Drosophila melanogaster: one gene and its partners. The protein of the gene in region 3 interacts with the protein of the main gene of each other region in a pairwise test. Each region holds a gene or a part of one and is shown on either strand. Other genes may lie near its edges. The genes, in order: ND-B14, CG10252, CG1486 and CG15712.

Region 1 (2,928 bases), on a different chromosome or scaffold from region 3:
TCTTTTAAGTTAAACTATTTTATAACTAAGCAGACAGAAACCAGAATGAAACTTTCAAGATCTTAATTCTTATTTATTAAATACAAATACAAATTCTACCCACTTAAAAAAGGGTCACAATGGAAATTTTGTGTGAATCAATCGTTGGATTCAATTCTGTCCAGCGATCGCTTAGTTATCCTGATCAAGAATATACGTACATACTAAATATCATTTCAATTCTATTTGAATTATATTTTCAACATAATTTCCAACAAATCAAGTTTGGCTCTCATTTCAAAAGCACAAACGTACAGGGCGCCCCCTGCACGTCGCCTCATACAAGGTACAAGCTGCCGCGTTAAAAGGGGCTCCATACAAGGTTGCTCCGTACAGATCGTATAGGGTGCTCCGTACTTGAACAGTGGAACAGAAGTGACGGCTGTTACGCTCTTATACATAGGTTCGAGTATTCGCTAAACATGTGACCATCAAACGCTCTTTGGTATTTTTAATTGTTATGCTGCAGGCGCTGTAAGGTATTTTATGAAGCGGCATACACTGGTCTTACTACATTATCCGCGTGCTCTGTTTATAATTTAGAAATTGTTAATTTTTGGAAATAGCCATGGATGACGAAGCGGAAACCTACAAGCTGTGGCGCATTCGCAAGACCATCATGCAGCTGAGCCACGATCGGGGCTACCTGGTGACCCAAGACGAGTTGGACCAGACCTTGGAGCAGTTCAAGGAAATGTTCGGCGACAAACCCAGCGAAAAGCGACCTGCTCGTTCCGATTTGATAGTTTTGGTGGCCCACAACGACGATCCCACGGACCAGATGTTCGTCTTCTTTCCCGAGGAGCCGAAGATCGGCATCAAGACAATCAAGACGTACTGCACTCGCATGCAGGAAGAGAACATCCACCGGGCCATCGTTGTGGTGCAGGGCGGCATGACGCCCTCCGCCAAGCAATCGCTCGTAGATATGGCCCCCAAGTACATCCTGGAACAGTTTCTCGAATCCGAACTGCTGATCAACATCACGGAGCACGAACTGGTCCCGGAGCACGTGGTCATGACCGTCGAGGAGAAGCAGGAGCTGCTCAGCCGTTACAAACTGAAGGAGAACATGTTGATGAGGATCCAGGCGGGCGATCCCGTGGCCCGGTACTTTGGACTCAAGCGCGGCCAGGTGGTTAAGATCATCCGTTCCTCTGAGACGGCGGGACGGTACATATCCTATCGATTGGTGTGCTGATCCTGGACTTATGAATTATTTTAAGAAACCTATGATTTAAGGAAAAGGCAGCGAGTTGTACACTTTAATAAATCGCAATCTTTTCAGTAAGTTGTGTGTTTGGTATTGGCAAGAAATTAAAGTACTCGAAATTAAATGCCCTTGAATGCTAGGAACTAGTTCAAAGTATCAGCATTTTACTTAAGAGAATCAATAGTACAAGTTGACAAAATGATATAAATTTAAAATAGTGTATTAATTTTAGCTGAGCAGCAAATCCTAATCCATAAAAAAGTTTATATTTGTTTCTTTTGAAGCGCTAGGAAATCCATTACAAATTTGCGGAATATAATGTGGGTATTAAAGATCATAATTTGATATGAGTTTTATTATAGGAATTTAGCAACATCTATTATTTTCGAGTAGAAAACATTTTTAAATAAAAATCATTTTACCAAACTTTGGTTTTGTCCATTTGTGCGTAGTGAACTGCGGTCACACTGTTCTGCTTGGAGCAATTTGGTCGTAGGAAAAACAGAAAGAAATAAAAACAAATCAAATGGCCGGACGTGAAGCCGTGAAGCGAGCCGTACAGCAGGTGCGCCCCATCCTGTCCGTGGACCGCGAGGAGGCCCGTAAGCGTGCCCTCAATCTGTACAAGGCCTGGTACCGCCAGATTCCCTACATCGGTAAGTGCTCCTGGTTATGTCATCAGAGTGTGCATCCGTATCCCGACGCCATGTAATGCCATCCGTCCGCTTGCAGTCATGGACTACGACATCCCCATGACCGTGGAGCAGTGTCGGGACAAGCTGCGCGAGGAGTTCGTCAAGCATCGCAATGTGACCGACATCCGGGTGATCGACATGCTGGTCATCAAGGTAAACGCATCCATAAGAGAGCTATGCTGCAGGTGATAATACTATCTTACGCAGGGCCAAATGGAGCTTAAGGAATCCGTGGAGATCTGGAAGCAGAAGGGCCATATCATGCGCTACTGGAAAGAATCGCAGGATCCCAAGCCCACCGACTTCCTCTCAAAATTCATCCAGGGCGTTAATTAGTTATTCAAATTGAAATAGTTTAAATACAAACTCCGACAGAGTGTAAAACGAAACAAAGGGAGTTTTGTGCGCTTCAGAAACGCGTGTGTCCTTGTTTATTGAGATTGTGACTTCAAAAATATCATGGTTTCACTGTGAATACATACTAATGAATGTTCTGATCTGGATTCTGAATCGGTTGAGCAAAATAGTTGTTCAAACTTAAACAGTTGTGGTGTATAAATGCTATTTTTTGTTAGGGCGATTTGTAAAGTGCAGACAGTCTTCTTGCTCTCGTCAGCTAATATGTGTGCCGTTTAAATTTGTAAATTCTATGCAGGTAGATTGATCGTGGCCCTGTTTTTAAGGTATCAAATTGAGCAGGTTGTCCAGAGCGGCGGAGCTGGCAAAGAGATCAGTAGTTATGGCGTCATAGTCTACGCCCAGGCTCTCCAGCTCGGTGAAACAGTCTTCCGTGAGGCCTGGAATCTCCAGTGAGTTAATCGACTTGTTGAATGCATCATGCCGATTGGTGTAGCCCTTCTTCTCGCGGAACATCTCAGCCAACTGCTCGTCGCTCAGTTCGATGCCATGCACCTTCTTGGAATGTTGGCGGAATCTGTAAGTGGCATGGTGATGATTTGCTGGCCCTGTGATAGAGTAAAT
Region 2 (3,192 bases), on a different chromosome or scaffold from region 3:
TTTCAGTTTTCACCGTTGGTGAATCCTACTGGGCTCTCCTGGTGGCCCGGGCTGTGCAGGGCGTGGGATCCGCTTGCATCAACATATGCGGCATGAGCCTGGTGGCCCAGCATTATCCGGAGGAGGCACGTCGTTCCAAGGTGATGGGCATCATCCTGGGCAGCATCGCATTGGGTGTGCTGCTGGGCTATCCATTCGGTGGAATTCTGTATGACCTAATGGGCAAATCGGCGCCTTTTATCATTCTCTCCACTCTGATGTTCCTAAGTTTGGGCCTCCAGCTCCTGACCATGGATCTGACGGTGCAACCGGAGGTTGTGGTGGAGGATAGACCCAAGTGGCGATCGCTGCTCGAATGCAAAATGATCCTGGCCATTGTGCTGGCCATTTGGTTTTCAACCTCAACAATGGCCATGCTGGAGCCCTGTCTGCCCATCTGGCTAATCCAGTATCTAAAGCCTAACAAGTGGCAGCTGGGCACCGTTTTCATTCCAGACTCTGTGGGCTACTTTGTGGGCACGAACTTCTTCGGCAGCATTGCCTACAAATATGGTCAGGTTAAGGTGTCCTGTATCAGTTTGTTGCTGGTGGGAGTAGCCTCTATTCTGGTGAGAGCCCTGCTTTTATAAAACCTGAATTGGAAATATATTGCAAATATATTATTTACTTTGCAGATACCCAGTGCTACAACGGTGGCCCAACTATTGCTGCCCCATTTTGCCTTGGGACTGGGTATTGGAGTAATCGATGCCGCATTGGTTCCACTCTTGGCCACCTTTGTGGATGCAACACTGGCTCAGGAGGATCAGGGTGAGGGCAGCAGTTCCATGTCCAGCTACGGAACAGTCTATGCTATCCAGCAGACCTCTGTCAGTCTGGCTTATTGCTTAGGTAAGTGGATATTGTTTTTTTTTTTTTTCTAAAAAAAAAAGTGTATTTTTATCATCTTTATAGCTCCCCTGATTGGCGGGGAGTTGGCCCAGACCTTTGGATTTGCTTGGCTGATGCGCATTGTCGGCATTTTCAATATGATTTATGGCCCAATATTGGTCTACTTGCATCAGAAATACGATCCAAAGGTATCAACATTTTTTATATTTTTCGATTAAGCCGTCACTATTTATATGTGTTTTTTTTTTTAACAGGCCCTTAGGGAACAGCATAATGATATGCTGCTCCAAAGCAGCGGGCGGGGATCTAGGTATAAACAACTTTACAACTCCATGGATGTGGAATAAGCTGTACTGCCCAGTTGTCCAGCAAAATAGCAAACAACCTTGAGTGTGCAAATAAGGCGTTCCTTTGGCTCAATAAAGCAATATATCTGGAGCTGATTTTCGTAAACAATTTATTTTTCCGATAAAATTCGAATCTCCTATTATTAAAATCACTTTGCCATGTCTTGAAGTAACTTAGGTTATTATGATCAAATTTTCGGAATAAAAAGAATTACGTAATTAATATTTGAATGGGTTATGTGTGAAGGAATTACGGTGGTAAAACTTTTCTATAACAAGTGTGCTATGGCTCTGACTTCGAATGGAGCTGCGATGTGAAGTTCTATGAAAGCCTCATTCTGCTACTGGAATCTGTTCGGCCAACACCTAATATTGGGTTCTAAATTTTCAAAATAGATTTTCTTTCTAATATTGCACAAAACTAACAAAAATGGCGGTGCGACCTTTTGGTGAGTGAGAATTCATAAAATTGTAATGTGGTAAATAATATATTATACATGCTTTTTGTAGGCCCTGGACCCGGCGTTTACATGCTGCCCCCCACTGTGGGCTATGATAAGCATGACAACCGCAAACAGCGGTTGCCGCAGTACTCTTTCGGCATGCGCACCCGTGCTCCTGGTGAGGATCTGGGTCCTGGTCCAGGGGCCTACAAGGTGGACAAGTTGACTCGCTATGGCACGAGCAAGGGTTTGGAGTTCTCGATGGCGCCCAGAACCAATGTCATCGGTAAGATAACTTATTAGTACTGAAGACAAGAACGTTTTTGGTTAAATTGCTTAATCGTAGATAAGCGAAGCAGTCCCGGTCCGGGAGCACACGATGTTCATAATAGGCCATTCTTTAAGGGGGTTAATGCTCCTTCGTATTCGATGGGCCTACGAACGGACTTTAACTTCAAGAAGGATGGTCCCGGTCCCAATGCCTACAAGTACGAGGTCAATGCCGTTCGTCCTGGAGTCCCGAGCTATAGCATGTGCGTATTTCAATCCTACCATAGTTATTCCTTTACTAAGTTGCCTATTTTTATTTGTACCTGTATCTCAGGGGACTACAAACAAAGATTTTGAACAAGACGAATTCTCCGGGTCCGGCTGCATATGGCGGTGGTGATATCAATGTCAAACTGACACGTGCTCCGATATACTCGATGCAGCCGCGCACCACTATTCCGGGCGAGAATGTCGGACCTGGACCCAACTACTACGACCTCATGTACTATCGTCCTGGCAAGAGTGGACCGGGCTACTCCTTTGGTGTGCGCCACCACCAGTTCGCTCCGCCTATGATAGTTAGATGTGACAATATGTAGACCAAGTGCAATATTGGAAGAAATATATGCTAAAATTTTTGTGAATAAACAATTCTTTTTAAACCAAGTTTCATTGTTTATGGAAAATGCTTAACGGGGTATTAAAATGAGATTGAATTTGTTTTAACTTGGTAGAACGCAATGAGCGTTACCTTTATTGGAAAAGGAAGGGAGCATTTTGATGCTAGTGCGCCTATGATGTGATACACTTGGCTCTGTACATGTCTAAAATACAAGTAGTCCCTGAACGATGTGTCAAATTAACATTTGATAATAGAAATTTTTGGAAAAAGCACATTTACATTTACATTATTATATCAACGTAACGGTGAGTTTTTAGGCAGACAACAACACGCGTTACTATTTTACGGAATTGAGAGTAACTGAATTTGTATTTAGACTATCCCATTTCAATTTCGCGGGCAAATGCTCATCTTGTTTCAACCGTTGTTTTCTCTTAACAGAGCGCTGTTATCAAGATAATGGTTCGAGTGCTCGCTTAAAGGCACTGGAACTCGGAACCATTGATTTTATCTAACTCCGGTATTTTTCAGTCACAAAATTCTTTTTATCAAAGTTTCTCGTTTTGTTTGTAGATTTTGCCTGTTTTATTTATAGTTTTTCGAAAGAAGTTGGCGAAAT
Region 3 (6,452 bases):
TGGTGGCTATGCGTCGCTACACTCTGTTGGGGTTGGGTTGCGGTGCAAGGAGATGTTAGAGGTGCTCAATGGCCAAGTTATCACTAGTGCATGGGAAACCCCAATTTACTGATATATTATGCTTTTACAAAACAATTAACAATTATTAGCTGTGCAATAGCATATAATGTTGATGTGGATTCATCGATATCTATGTATATAAGCAGGTCGAAGGTCAGTGCCTCTGCCGCGTCACGATATCTGGCCAAAATCGCCGGCCCAGTACTGAGAGAGTATTGAAGGCGGGTGGTCGATAAGGCGGATGGGAGAACCGTGGACAGCACTTCTGGGACGGGTGGGGATTCGGTGGAACACGAACCATTAAACGTGTGGCGGAAAATCTTGATAGAGGCTTACTTTAAGACAGGTGTCACTGGCTAAGCGGTACCCAGCAAAAATATATGTAACTTTACGAAAATTTAAAATTTTGCAAATATTTAGGAATAAATATCTCGTATTCGTATATATTGAAAGTTACTCTAAATTTAATAGATCGCACATTGAAGTAACGTAAATATAATTTGAAAATATAAATGAAACCATATTATTGATATGAGAGATTTGCAGATACAAAGATCTAAAATATATGAATTAATTTTAAGTTCAACGTTTCTATTCATGCAAATCTTCAAATAAATTTCCGAGGCAAACACATCCATACTCTCTAGCGAGTACTACCTGTATCATTGAAAATCTTATCAGTGCGGCCGCTTTTATTATTATTATTCTGTAGCAGTAGTACTTAAGTTTCGATAGCGGGAGCGGGTTGGGAATAATTTCGGCGTTTCGGGCGGGTAAAAATAGGACTATTTTTGTTTTGTGATTTACTCCTGCTTTCGGGTAATTTCAGTACTTACAGCTCGCACTTGGCGATTGAACATGAAACAAATGCATGTCCATACTTTTGATAGCAACAACAAAAGCGCACGGAATTTCATTTGCAGCAGCGAAATCATTGGAAATAGTGCAAGTCCTTGTACGGTGTTTTTTTTGTTCGGGGCGATTAATTCGATAAATCGACCACGATCCGCGATTGACCGCGGTGCGAGCAGATTCCTCTTCTTCTTCCGCCTCCTCTACTTTATTTTTTCTTTTGCAACGAATTGTTGTTGTTTTTGATAACGCGCCGAGAGCCACACGCACACTCACCCACACACCCGCGGGCGCGCTTCACACAACACACACTCACACAAAAAAAACCCGGAACAAAATCGATAACAAGGCTTCTAGATATTTTGTTGAAAGTGTTTTTCTCTTTTCCCGGTTTTTTACTTGAGTTCAATTATTCGGTGTCGCCTAGTTTTAAGGTCCCTTTTCAAGGGAGAAGGAGGGGTATGGTCTTATTTCCAATTCTTTTGGGGGCTTTTTATATCTGGCGTCTGCTCTTCTTCTTCTCTTTTGTTGTCTTGTACGCCAGTGTGTGAGTGTATTGTTTTTTTTTTAGCGTAGTGTAGTTTTTATATTTTGGCAACTATCGCACCGATTTGGGAATAGATTTTGTTTTTGGTTGAGCAAAACGAATCAATTGATTGAGCTATTGCACTTTGATTGCAGTCGATTGCGAGGTGCGTTCGCCTGAATAGTACGACCTGGCCGTGGACTGTTCATTACTCGTTGGCGCTGCGGCTTAGTGTTTATTACATAAATATAGTTTGTCCGCGTTTCGTTTTTGTTTAATAAATTCCCACACTCATGCACACACTCATGTTTATTCGATACTATCGCACTTTCGCAGCATCGATGAGTTTTCCGCAACTATCGATGGCTGTGTAGTATGACCGTGCGGTGCTGTCTTCAAAATCGCTGAGACACAAACCGTGACACAAACCACTGTGAAAACTCGTCGTTTAAGGTTACGAGTAGGTGCTATGTATGTACGTTTGTGTGCTGCTGTCCAACGTCTTTTAGTGGCGGATATTATAATAGTTTTCCAACTTCCTTGCGACCTATTCCATCACCAGAACCATGGGCCAACAATCGCACACTATTTGCGATCTTAGTCAGACGCACCCACTACGGTCACACCATTCCACATCAGCCTCTCTTCCATCAACACACACACACACTCGCCCGCCCCACACACACACGCACACACACCCACCCACACAGACGCAGTGGCACGAAACGAAAACAATTATTTTGCATCGCAGGCGATAAGTTAAAAGTGATTTAGACCGCACTGAAACCATGTCAGCGGCTGGTAGATCGGTGGACGATCCCGGCCAGAGCCCACTCGTAGACCAAGAGCCGGATCCGGGCCAATCAACGCCAGCGGTGGCCGAAATCGCCGCTTCCAGTGTGAGTGTTTGGTTTTTTTCGCCCTGCTTCTATCTTTTTTTTTTTTGCTGACGACGACGGAAGACACGTCAACTTCTGGAGCGCTGTTGTTTACCTTGTCCACTATCCCACCTAATTAGCCATGTATTCGCCACATAGATTCGATCGGGCCTGGCGGAGCTGGAGCTGCGATCTTCGCAGGTGCTGCAGCGCTTAGAGAACGTTAAGGTGTCGACCACGCCGGAGAGCCCAAATCCCGTCGAGAACGAGGAAGAGGCTGGGGAGCGGGTGACCAGCGAGGACCTCCTGCCAGCGAAGCATCGCGTGCCCTCCGACATTCTTAAGTCGCTGGAGCAATTGGTTTCTTACACGGACAGCGACGATGATCCGGAGTTCCCGCTGCCCGCCCTGGATGACGTCTCCCACTTGGCTCTCATATCGCACAGCATTGTGGCCTATTTGTCGCATCTGGACCGTCAGCAACTGCTCCGGGTGACGAACAGCATTTCCGGGGACGCCACCCGCTGGTTGGGCACGCTGTTTCACTTTGCCCACCCGGCGAGCAGCTTCCATGCGGACAATGCAGACGCGGTGCTGCGTACGGTGCGACTGGCCATCGTCGCCAGGTGTCCGGGGTACTTGGAGGGTGGCATACCCGCCCTGGCGCAGCCTACGTTTTACATCTCGGAGAATACGACGCCGATGAGGCTGCACTACGCATGCCGCCAGTTGGGCATACCGCTGGAGGCTATTAAGGTCATTCCGGAGCACAGTCAGTCCGGGACAATGGATGTGACGCTGCTGCAAAAGCAAATTCAGCAGGATGTGGGCAATAACAGGACTCCGCTGCTGGTGGTCGCCGACATTGGAGCCTCGTTGTGTGGCTATGTGGACAACCTGCTCCGGCTGAGGGACGTATGCAAGGCGCACAACATGTGGCTGCACGCCAGTGGCCACGGACTGGCCGCCTTGGTGTGCGCCCAAAATCAGGGCCATGTGGAGGAGGTACTCCACTCGATGGCCCTGAATTTGGGCAGCTGGCTGGGTGTGCCCAGTCTGCCCATCGTCCTGCTGCACCGTCCGCTGCAGAACAGCGCTCTGAGTGCCTTCGAATCCGATCCCATACTGTCGCGTCGTCTTAATGCCCTGTCCTTGTGGACCAGTTTGCAGGCGCTGGGCCGGAAGGCGATTGCGGAGCGTCTGCATGTGGCCTTCCAGACGTGCAGTATTCTCTTCGAGATTGCCTCCAAGTGTGAGGGCATCCGGGTGTTGGTAAATTATTGCACACACGTTTATGGATAATGTTTTTAGTTTACCAAAGGACCTTGGCATTTTCAGAGCCATACTCCAGGAGCGCAGACCGGAGCCTCTTTGTCGGACGTCATTCAGAGCCCCTTTGATGTGCAGGCGCTTTTTGATGCCGCCGCCCCCGTGGTCGCCTATCAGTTCGACGGCAGCACCACCATTCCACTGGGCGGGAGTGGCTCTTCCGCCGCCGCTGCCGCTGCTGAGCGGGAAACGGCCGAAGGCCTCAAGCCGCTAGAGAAGATTAACAATGCTTCCTACTTCGACCGGCTCAACTCCTGGCTGGGTCAAATCTTGCAACGCGACTGTCCCAATGTATGCAGTGTGAATTAATCATCTCCTTGTATGAGCCTAATCACCATGTTCTTCCAGTTTGACTTTGAGGTAATTGAACACCCGACGCACGGCAGCTGCATTCGCTACTGTCCGCTGGAATTGGGGTTGGGTGAGCAGCCGCCAAGCTCCGAGAACCTGGAGAGCTTCGCTCAGAGCTTAGAGGCACATGTGGACATCCTGCGCGCGACCATCAAGCACAAGGCACGGTTCATTCATCTGGTGGAGTGCAGCGACGTGCTGCGCCTCGTTCCACTGCCCGAATGGGCGGGCATGGGCGGTGTTCGCTTCGTGCCCGAGGGCTGGGAGTCCCTGCTGACGGACCAGGCCAAAACAGAGCTAAACAAGCTGAACATCGACCTGGTGGAGGCCCTGAAATCCACGGACAATGCCTTTTCATTAGGCGAAGGCACCGATGGTCTGATTTGTGTGCGATTCGGAATGGTGACCCATGAAACGGAGGTCGAAGAGTTGTTAGACTTGGTGGTCACGGTGGGCAAGAGCGTCCAGGAAAACTCGCGGGTATTGGACACCATGTCGGAGATTGTTAAAAAGGTTGGCTACCACCTCGTACTGGATTAATGTAACATGTGTTAATTTATTTGTACGCTCAGGGCATTGAGGCGGTTACCGCTGATCTGCAGCGCGAATCGGAGGAGAAGCTCTGGCAGGAGGGCATCCTGCGCCACGTGCCTGTGGTGGGACGCGTCTTCAACTGGTGGTCCCCACCGGCCAAGGAGTCGGGCATCAAGGGGCGGAGCCTCAATCTTACCCAAGGTGTTGTCGAAAGCACCGAGAACATTTACAAGTGGGTTCCAAAGATCGTTTGATATTGTGTCCTTGTTTAATGTTCATCAATCTACACTCCAAAGGTACCACATGCAGATGACCGGAGCCACTGCTCATCAGTTGCCAGCGAATCGTTCGCCTCCCACACCCATGGTGCAGACGCCCGTGGTCGCGCCTGCCTTGCCGCCCGTCTTTCCCACGGTGGAGCCCGTACCCGGAAATGGAAACGGATCCGGAGCGAGCGAGGGCACGCCAGTGCAGTCGGGAGAAGCTTCGGGATCGATGCCAGCAGCCTCGGGAGCGGCTCCGTCTGCGGCGCCGACCCAAAACCATGTGGATCATGCCCGCACCGTCAGTCAGAGCAGTGCCGCCTCGTCCACCGTTCCGGAGTTAGTGGCCGCCAGCAGTGCAATTAACAATAACTAACAATAACACAAGTACGAGTATATTTCAAAATTAACTATAACTGAACGGCAGAGGAAAACACTTAGATCAAGGCAGAGCCAGCAATATGGATTCCACAGTGGGAGAGGCCTTAAAACGCAGCAATATCAAACAAGGCTTGAACTGAACAGAAACGCGTAGACAAAAACTGGACAGATTACCATATATATGGACGGCTTCATTTCCACTTTCCCTACTTAAACGAAAAGAATTCCAAAGAGGATGATTGTTCGCCCGAAAAGATGAAAAGATGATGATGATATGATCCAATTGAATTGCTTTTATGTATTTATATGTATATGGCTATTTCTATGATCTTTTATATATCTCCATTATATATTATATTATTTTACCTTATACTTTACTCCCACCATTATTGTTGATTATGATCAGAGGGAAATGTGCGTAACTTCGTCCTCTTTACGCTTTTATTTTTTTGTTTTTATAATTATTCAGATGCAAGTACCTTTGAGAGACATAATATATATACATTTATATATATATAGGCAATTCTTCAATGTTCAATTGTGCGAAGCAATAAATTGCGCTATTCTTATTCGTTAAGCTAAGTGACAGTAAACTAAAGAAATTAAAGAAAACGCGGAGAAAGAAAATAATTAAATGACAAAAATATATTTATTATACAAAAATTGCTGCTATAAGAAAATATCTGCACAAAATATGATAAAAGGAAACTATACAAAATAAAATGTGAAATCATTTAGAAAGAGAAAGCATGTGTTTCTTGTTGACCTTTCGCCTCTAAATGGTAATATCTTCCCCTTTTGGTTTGTATTTCCCTAAACCGATTAAAAATGTTATTTTTTTAATTGTTATGTTTTCGTTTAGAAACGTGGCAATGTGATAAGTTTTTTTTTTTCATACACCAAACTTAACTCGATAGTTTCCAAACTTTTTATCCGATTTTCTCAACCTTTTTTTACAAATCTTAATCGTTTGATCGAAAAATTTACAATTGTTGTTAAATTACTAAAGGAAAGATGATGGTTGAGCTTATGATTTTATGCAAATAGGATACTTTTTTTAGACACATAACCTCTCTTATATAGTTTATGGTATGAAAAGTTAATTTTGTGTGGTTACATACTTACACAAGTACTGATAGTTTTTATGACCATATTCACCTTCATCATTCGTCACTTTATTGGCCCCCATTAAAAAACAACAGTTCTCCATCTAACTAATGCAATTAAATTTTATATTTTTATTTTATTTAATATTTTTTGTTGGATGTTTTTTAGCGC
Region 4 (2,854 bases), on a different chromosome or scaffold from region 3:
CAAAAGCCCAAATCAATGAGGCATTCTCTGCAAATTGCGTCAGCAAGATGCATTGCCACCAACCAGAAGATTCAACAGATTTTTGTCATCGTGAAACGACCTGGATTCCTGTTGCACTAATGATGGCATATTGTGCGTGTGTGCCAGCATATGACGACTGGAGGATTTCCCCTTTTGCTGATTTTCCACATTGTACTGACTGCACATCAGGTGAAGAGATTGCAGCTAAGTCCCAAAGGTCATGTCTATACGATGATTTTGCGATTGTCTATTTACACACAGAAAATGGTACGAAGTTTTGAGTATGAGACTAAAATGTAAGGAATAATATAAAAATACAATAAACTATGTATATATAAAAGTTCACATATTTCACACATAGCTTATATGCAAGTTAAAGATCAGGCTAGATATAAGATGATGTAGATGATATAAGTGATAATTGATAGGTAATATCTAAAATAAATATTTTTATTATCCTTATGAACATACAAAATGTATCCTTTCGCTTTTGAAAACTATGAATCAATAGAATCTAGGACGTCTTGGGACCCCAACTGATTACCTCAAATACGATTTGAAGTATTTCATCCACGTTGATGCTCTTCTGACTCAACTTTTTTATGGGCGCCTGAAGATCTCTGGAAAGCTAAGATAAAGCGGAGCGTTATAAAAACTCGACTAGATACCTTTTGAAATCTTACTCTGGCACGCTGCACCAGCTCCTTGAACTCCTTATCCCTCAAAGCCTTGTAGAGTTTGGCGAATTCAGTGCTCTGTTTCGATTTCTGTGCTATCAAGGAATAGATTCTGGTCCTGGGTAAACTATGAATAACATCCCAGAGGAAGGTGTTCAGGTCGCGTCGCAGCATCAGTTCCACTGGTACAGTCCGCGACAGTTGATAGGCACGCAAACGTGTTGGCAAGCTGTCCACCAGTGTGGTAATGTCGTAGCCAGAACCGTAATCGCTCACATAGTTAATAATATTCACGAAATCCGGAGTGGCACGAACTTGCTGCCAAGTGGCTATGAACTCATCGCTGCGAACAAACTCCACTGCCTGGCGAAACTTCGGGTCGAAGATATAGTATCTGGCGGCAATAAAACCAATTCTGCGACGTGGAACCAAGGCTACGAAATCCTTGAGATCCTCTCGCAAGCCGCCAAATGCTGTTGCCCAACAACTAATTGCTGAGATCAAAAGAATAACCGACACGGAGGTGGAGAAAGTCATAATGAGACTCTTAGAGTTTTGGTAGCGGCCAAGCCTTTTATACTTTCGTGGGTACAATATTTACCAATGTCTTTGGCGGCGGGGGTGTGCCAGGTGCTAATTGTCAACTGTCACCAGTCTCATCAACTATTTGGACCGCACAAACTATTACACAGCCGAAAAAAACGCCAAATATCGTCGAATTAGTTCCACTTATAAATATGTGTATAGCTTTTACATAATATCTCATCTCATAAAACTAGATAGCTTTCATGCTTATTTAATCTCTTACAATATGTGTTTGTATTAATTGGCAAATGTTTATTCATGAATTATCGTAATAAAAACTATATTATTATTATTTTTTCCACTGCACACTTTCGCTTTCACCGACACTGGGAATAAGTACACAAACCACAATCTGTAGCCAGTATTCAAAGCAGCGACTTCGCACATGATAAACAAGATGCATGGTCAACAAACGTTGGCCAAACCACGATAAATCAAGTGAGACATTCTTTTGTCTGGCCCAAACTGACTGTAATTGCTCCCATTTGTGCATTAAAAATAATGATTGATTCAGACTCGGAATGCATTTCCTATCCCAGTCTGAATTGCCTATCCCACACAAGCTGAATACATTGTTCTGTTGTGTCTGCAGAAGTCGAAAAATTAGAATTCAATTGCGTGATTTATGCATTCGCCAAATTTACGAGCCTTCTGAGAATTCCATGCCTATTCACCCACCACCTCGAACCGAAGAAAACCAGACTTCATTGGAGTAAACCACAGAACATTTGCGTGGTCACACAATTTATTAAAGCGAAAGCTAATGTAGATTATAATTAATTGCTCAAATTTATGCTCGCACTTCCAAAAAAGCTGGAAGCAGCAAATTGAACATGGCACATTTGAATGAGAATCATTTTTGCACATTAACCATAAATTACAACACATATGGCGGCCCTCTATTTATAGATATGTATAAAAAGATATTTGCAGCTTTAAGTGTATAATGTCAGTACGGATATGCTTCCATTTAAACCAGAGCTTACTCATTAGTATATATTTGTGATAAGTAAATCGTGTGTACTGCATAATTTTATTTACAGCATTGCATCAATTGATGGTCAGTTGCATTCGACAGCTTCGAGATGAAGCTTATTCCAGCTCTGCTAGCATTACTGATCCTGGGACACGGAATATCTCTAGGATATTCGTATCTTCTAGAATGGGATTGTGGCATTTCGAAATATACCTACCGGATAACTGGCGGTAGAGATAGTCCCCTGATGCTCAATCCATGGTTAGCCTATTTGCATATTAACTCCAAATTCATTTGTGGTGGCTCGCTTCTCAATCATTGTAAGTATGTGAATATAGACTTTATTCAACTGAAGGTAAGTTCTTGAATACAGAGTATAGAATTTATTGAACTGAACTAAGTTATTAAATACATCGATTTTATAAACAACTCATGACTTTTTTAGGGTTTGTGCTGACAGCAGCCCATTGTTTTAGGGATAAGAATGCTAAGGTGTAAGTAATATCTTAACATGAAAAACTAAATCATTAATTAAGTAATTATTATTAAAGTTTAGTTCGATTAGGAGAGAACGATGCTAGTCAGAAAATTGATT

What was found.
Region 1: the proteins of CG1486 (region 3) and ND-B14 interact in a two-hybrid assay, tested with the Drosophila melanogaster proteins (one large-scale study listed by BioGRID).
Region 2: the proteins of CG1486 (region 3) and CG10252 interact in a two-hybrid assay, tested with the Drosophila melanogaster proteins (one large-scale study listed by BioGRID).
Region 4: the proteins of CG1486 (region 3) and CG15712 interact in a two-hybrid assay, tested with the Drosophila melanogaster proteins (one large-scale study listed by BioGRID).

Annotation. Positions count from the first base shown.
Region 1 is NT_033778.4:10,896,644-10,899,571, reverse strand, and holds ND-B14 (NADH dehydrogenase (ubiquinone) B14 subunit), read left to right. Parts: upstream 1-1,686; 5' UTR 1,687-1,778; coding exon 1,779-1,908; intron 1,909-1,984; coding exon 1,985-2,100; intron 2,101-2,154; coding exon 2,155-2,283; 3' UTR 2,284-2,428; downstream 2,429-2,928. Other genes in the region: Polr2E (RNA polymerase II, I and III subunit E), read left to right, coding at 608-1,240; CG12942 (uncharacterized protein), read right to left, coding at 2,626-2,881.
Region 2 is NT_033777.3:23,694,639-23,697,830, reverse strand, and holds CG10252 (uncharacterized protein), read left to right. Parts: upstream 1-1,585; 5' UTR 1,586-1,668; coding exon 1,669-1,687; intron 1,688-1,748; coding exon 1,749-1,967; intron 1,968-2,027; coding exon 2,028-2,214; intron 2,215-2,285; coding exon 2,286-2,550; 3' UTR 2,551-2,610; downstream 2,611-3,192. Other genes in the region: prt (portabella), read left to right, coding at 7-608, 675-891, 955-1,079, 1,146-1,238.
Region 3 is NC_004354.4:21,322,235-21,328,686, forward strand, and holds CG1486 (uncharacterized protein), read left to right. Parts: upstream 1-1,811; 5' UTR 1,812-1,913; exon of another isoform or gene 1,914-2,000; 5' UTR 2,001-2,226; coding exon 2,227-2,337; intron 2,338-2,475; coding exon 2,476-3,588; intron 3,589-3,654; coding exon 3,655-3,936; intron 3,937-3,993; coding exon 3,994-4,509; intron 4,510-4,568; coding exon 4,569-4,762; intron 4,763-4,826; coding exon 4,827-5,169; 3' UTR 5,170-5,916; downstream 5,917-6,452. Other genes in the region: Dd (dullard), read right to left, coding at 897-995.
Region 4 is NT_033778.4:16,484,306-16,487,159, forward strand, and holds CG15712 (uncharacterized protein), read right to left. Parts: upstream 1,248-2,854; 5' UTR 1,236-1,247; coding exon 705-1,235; intron 650-704; coding exon 536-649; downstream 1-535. Other genes in the region: CG33458 (uncharacterized protein), read left to right, coding at 2,369-2,579, 2,705-2,753, 2,811-2,854.